2 linked regions of the Kluyveromyces lactis genome follow. The protein of the gene in region 1 purifies or fractionates together with the protein of each later gene. This does not show direct contact. Links are inferred from orthologs where the notes say so. Each region holds a gene or a part of one and is shown on either strand. Other genes may lie near its edges.

Region 1 (2,964 bases):
AGAAAAATTATCCCATATGACAGAAGAAGAAGCTGAAGAAGAACTAAAGAACCTAGGCGTTCAATCTGCTCTACCAAAGATCGTTACCACCATGAGAGAAAAGTTGGATTTGATCTCCTTCTTCACTTGTGGTCCAGATGAAGTTAGAGAATGGACTATTAGAAGAGGAACTAAAGCTCCCCAAGCTGCAGGTGTCATTCACAATGATTTAATGAACACTTTCATCTTAGCTCAAGTTATGAAATACGAAGATGTGGTCGAATACAAAGATGACAATGCCATTAAGGCCGCAGGTAAATTGCAACAGAAGGGTAAGGAATACGTTGTTGAAGACGGTGATATCATCTACTTCAGAGCCGGTGCCGGTAAGAATTGAGAGAACATCACAATTATAGGACCCGTCATATTACAAGGGTTGACATTGCTTGCATATTGCTCACGAACAATGAGGCCCCCACTTCTCTTTTTTAGTTGTTAATTTCAGTCCATAATTCTCATATATAAATTTCATGCCTCATCGTTATATGGCTAACGTAACGTCCGTAATTCAAGAATGAAAATACCCTACTGAAAACGTATATTTGATGTGTTAATGTTAAATACTGAGCTTACATGAAGTTGCGAAACACGCTTTATTTATTTACAAGAAAGCAAGATAAATGTGTTTAAAACAAGAAGGAATACCATTTGTCCTTTCTCTTTTCACGTTCTTCCTTTGGAACATAAGCAGATACATGTTCGACGATTTTTTCAACACCAGTCTGTTCGTCATAGTTTCTACCTAGGGCATCAATGAATTGACCTTCTGGGTCCATCAAGTAGAAGAAAATGGAATGATCAACTAAATAATCCTGGCCAGGTTTGACGTTTGGTGGAGTAGAGAAATAGACTCTGTATTTTTTGCAAGCATTCTTCACGGCATCATAGTCACCAGTTAAACCGATAATGTCAGGGTGGAACTCGCTTAGGTATTCTTTCAAGACTTCTGGTGGATCTCTAGCCGGGTCACAAGTAATGAAAACAGGTTGCAAATTGATGTCACGCTTCTTTAACTCAGTTAACCATGCTCCTAACTTATCTAACTCATCTGGACAAATATCTGGACAATGACTGAAACCAAAATAGATGATAGAGAACTTGCCTAGCAAGTCTTTCTCTGTAAATGGATTCCCATTAAAATCAATCAAACTAAAGGGACCTCCGACCAATGGCCTACCGTAACCTCTGTTAGCTTCCGCCTCCTTCTCGGTCTCTAATCTTTGCTTCTCATTTTTAAAGAAATAGTACACCCCGCCTCCGATAAGAATGAACAAAGCTGCTGCTTTCCAGGTAGTAAATTCGATGGTAGAACCTGTATCAACTTTTTGGGTATGAGTTTCAGCACCGCCAATGGGTATCCTACTTAATGGCTTCTTCTTAGGTTTTGGACTACCTACTGCAGGGGCAGGGTCATATTTCTTAATCTCTTGTAACTTGGTTGCAGATACGGATAACGATCTGTAATGATTCATAAAATGGGCCAAGGTAGTTTTCCTTAGCACTGGTCTCATTGCTTCTTTAGAAGCAAAAGTAATACTAGGGACGCGAACAATGCTGCGTAACATTACAATTTATAGTTGATACTGTATTAGCAATCCTTGTTATTGTTAAACCGTTTATTCCCGATGTGAGTAACCAAAATGCTGCGTTTTGTTGGTATCACATCATTTATGAAAGTTATAAGTGCAATCATATGGCTACATTTTTTGTATAAAATGCTCTTGAAATTTTAAATATTTCAATGCAGCTTTGGAGCTGAAGAGATACTGGTAAGAAAAAAAAAAACCTATTCTACACACGATATTCTATATATGATTCCATATCAAATTGAATATATTCGATGATCTAGTTTGGATTAGATCAGGACTCTGTGAAGCCTCGTGAAAGACATAATGGCAGTTTAAACGTTATCATTAATACATATATCTATATATATTACCGGGTTTTAGACTATTTAAGTTTCAGGGGGGTTGGTTTCTCAGTAATGATTTCAACCCATTAAAAATTACGTTGTTTATAGTCCACTTTCCAATTAAATCCTAATTCCTGATGGATATCTTTGAATTCGTAAAAGTTAGGTAAATGTTTGATTTCTAGTGTACAGTATATTAAGAAGGAATTCTCAAATAGAAGGAGAAAAAGAATGTTTAGTCCGATGTAAGTTCGCATAGAAGATTATACAGACAAAAAGGCCGCTGCAATGTCGCTCTATAAGAAATATCCACCTCTTTGGTTATTATTGTTTGTTTCTTGGATGTAATCGTCAGGTACAGCGGAAAAAATTTTGAATGTTGGATCTAAATCATCTTCGACTTTCATGACACTCGCCACATTACCACATCGATAACAATAATTAGGTGCAGACCATACCGTTACAACATCCTTCTCCGGAAAATGGTATTTGAATCCTTCCATAACTAGCTGGTGAGCTCTTGCGATTAGGCTTAGGCCATTCACATGATTAAATTCTCGTGAGACTTTGCTACCGAACAACCATCCGGCACCACGAGGTGAGACTTGCCATGCTTCCACGTTGTCGGGGTCACTCCATAACAAATCGGAGAAGCCACCTTCATGAGGAACTTCTTGGGCTCTCGATAGAACTCTGATCTGATCAAGCATTCTAATCTCGGGAGACAAACCACCATGCACACATAAAATTTTCCCGTCAATAATAGCTGCCAAAGTTAAGAAATCAAACACTTGACAACAATACTTCCAAACCGTTGTGGAACCATACTTATTTAAACATTCCTCATAAAACCCATAAACTTGTGTAATTTGCCTCGACTCATGATTTCCTCTAACCAAAGTAATTCTGGAAGGATATTTCACTTTCAAACACATAAGAAGTGTGAACGTCTCCAAACTGTAATAACCACGATCTACATAGTCACCAAGAAAAATATAGTTTACTTGATCAGG
Region 2 (3,010 bases), on another chromosome or scaffold:
AGGGGTGGGGAGGAACCGCGGGGGTTATATTAATTAATTTAATAGATATTATGTGAATAGTCGGAATAATTATTCTATTAATATATAATAAGCCTCTTAAAGAAAAATATTATTCTAATTATATTAATAATAAAAAATAAATAAATATATTAGGTAGGGCTTATTTCCCACCATATGGTGGGAAATAAGCCCCCCTCATTAGTATTATTTTATATAATAAATAATAATATTATAAATAAATATAATATATAATTATATTAAAATATATATATGTATATTAATCCGCGCCTCATCCTTTATAATGGATGAGGCGCGGATAATACTTTTCCCGCGGACTCCTTTAAAGGAGTCCGCGGGGGTTTATTATTAATATTATAATATATAATAAATAAGAATTACCCCGCGGCTCATCACCCTACATTCGTAGGGTGAGAGACCGCGGGGGAAAAATATTATTATAATAATTAATTATTATAATAATGGTTATCCTAAATTTATTACTCCCTACTCCCCCCCTTCAATATCTGCGCACCAATCGTGTGCGACAGGAAGGGGGGGGAGTATAGCATGAGATCAATAAATTATTTTTATACTCTTATTTATATATAATTATTATTATATTTAAAAATATAATATAATATAATATAATATAATATAATAATTCCGCGGATTCATAACATGAATCCGCGGGATATAAAATAAGTAAGAATCCCCGTCTCCTTGTGGGTCGGGAAGGTGACCGTGGGGAAACCCCTAATAATATTGTAGGGTTTGCAGGGAAAGAATATTATTATATATAATTTATTAATTATAAATTATATAATTATTGTTCATTTAATCATTCTAAGAATGCTGGTAATGAAACTGCTTCAATTTTAATAGGCATAGCTGAATGTGATTGTCCACAAATTTCTGAACATTGTCCATAGAATACACCTTCTCTTTGAATTAAAGCTGATACTTGATTTAATCTACCAGGAGCTGCATCAATTTTAATACCTAAACTAGGTACAGCAAAATCATGAATAACATCAGCTGCTGTAACAACAAATCTAATATGTGTATCAACAGGTACTACTACTGAAGTATCAGTATCTAATAATCTTAATTGACCATCTTCTAATAAATCTTCAGGAATAACATATGATTCAAATTCTACTGTTTCACCATTATCATTAATGAAATCTGAGTATTCATATTTTCAATATCATTGTAAACCAATAGCTTTAATAGTCATTGCTGGAGAAATAACTTCATCACATAAATATAATAAAATGAATGAAGGGAAAGCAATAATTAATAAAATTACAGCAGGGAAAATTGTTCAAATAATTTCAATAGTTTGACCATGTTTAATATATTTATAAGCAATAGGATTTTTACTATAAGTTCTTACAATTGTAAATAATAATCATGATACTAATCCTAAAATAATAAATAAATAGAACATAATATTATCATGTAATTCTAAAATACCTTCTTGATTAGGTGTAGCTGAATCTTGGAAATACATACCATAAGGTGTAGGTACATCATTCATAATAATTGAATTTAATAAATAAAACATATTTATAATTTTTTTTAATCTATATATATTCTATATATTAGATATTACATTGATTAATATATTATTCTCCCGCGAACTCATCCAACTAATGTTTTGATGAGTTCGCAATTAGGAAAAAAACTTATTAATAATAAATTATTATAAATAATTATAATAATATTAAATAAGTATATTGATATATTATTATTAAATTTTTATATTTTAATTGATATATTTAATATATATTAGAGATACGAGATTTGAACTCATGTCCTTCGCGTGTAAAACGAATGCTCTGCCAATTAAGCTAATCTCTATTATTATTATTATAATAATATTATACTTACTTATATCTATATAATAATATTATATAATAATTATTATAAATTCCCCCAATTGCGTATTCCTCCCCACCCCCCTTAAAGGGGGTGGGGTTTATTAATTATATTAACTCCGGGGACTCTTCCCAGGTATACACCTTATGGGAAGGAGTCCCCGGGAGAAGAGTATATAAAATTATTTATACACCCCGCGGCTTATTCCCTGGAATTCCAGGGAATAAGTCCGCGGGAAAAGTATTATAAATAAATTAATAAATAAATAAATAAATAAATAAATAAATTATTAATACTAATAATAAGTATTATACCCCGCGGGAAAATGTATATTATATATTTATTTATATATAAAATTAATAATATAAAATTAATTTTTATTAGTATTTAGAGGTCCTTAAGGAAATAGTAAGGAGAACGCGGGAAAGATATATATTAATTTATTATATATTATAAAATATTTATATTTTTACCCCCCCCTTCATATAATATGAAGGGGGGATTATATGTATATATTAATTTATTATATATTATATAATTATATAATTATAATATAAAGAAAGAAGCCCCACGCGGCATTACCCTAGGGTAATGCCGCGTGGGGGAAGAATATTGATTATTTATTTATTATTATTAATTAATAAATTAAATAGTATTTAATTTAACTTTAATATTATATTTACCATTTTTATTAACATCAGAAATATTAGTAATATTATGGTTAACAGGGATATAATTTAATTTATAATTATTAACCATTTGATTACCTCAAATATATTTATAGTTTTGGAATGTACCATTTAAAATATTCATTGTATTAGATCTAGAAATAGATTTATTATTAGATAATCTACCTTTTAATTGAATTGATCATCCTACTAAATATTTAAACATTAAAATATTATTAGGGATAGTATTAATATTATTATTTTCATAAATAATATTATATAATTTCCCCGCGGCTCCTCCCCTGGGATTACCAGGAGAGGAGTCCGCGGGGTTATTATTATTATTATTATTAATTGATTTAATAATATTATTATATTTATTAAACATAATATTATTAATATTATTAATATATGTTTGACTAATTAATTTATCATTTAATTTAGGCATATTATTCATTAAA

What was found.
Region 2: the proteins of KLLA0_D03630g (region 1) and COX2 purify together in Saccharomyces cerevisiae (affinity purification with western blotting; 3 studies listed by BioGRID, with this or other methods). This does not show direct contact. The link is inferred for Kluyveromyces lactis from reciprocal best matches to the Saccharomyces cerevisiae genes SCO1 and COX2.

What each region holds. Positions count from the first base shown.
Region 1 is NC_006040.1:311,996-314,959, forward strand, and holds KLLA0_D03630g (SCO family protein), read right to left. Parts: upstream 1,605-2,964; coding exon 666-1,604; downstream 1-665. Other genes in the region: OLA1 (Obg-like ATPase), read left to right, coding at 1-376; type 2A-related serine/threonine-protein phosphatase SIT4, read right to left, coding at 2,248-2,964. UniProt on the Saccharomyces cerevisiae protein: Required for the accumulation of subunits 1 and 2 of cytochrome c oxidase complex. Thought to play a role in either mitochondrial copper transport or insertion of copper into the active site of COX.
Region 2 is NC_006077.1:34,113-37,122, forward strand, and holds COX2 (cytochrome c oxidase subunit 2), read right to left. Parts: upstream 1,595-3,010; coding exon 824-1,594; downstream 1-823. Other genes in the region: VAR1 (ribosomal small subunit protein), read right to left, coding at 2,527-3,010. UniProt on the Saccharomyces cerevisiae protein: Component of the cytochrome c oxidase, the last enzyme in the mitochondrial electron transport chain which drives oxidative phosphorylation.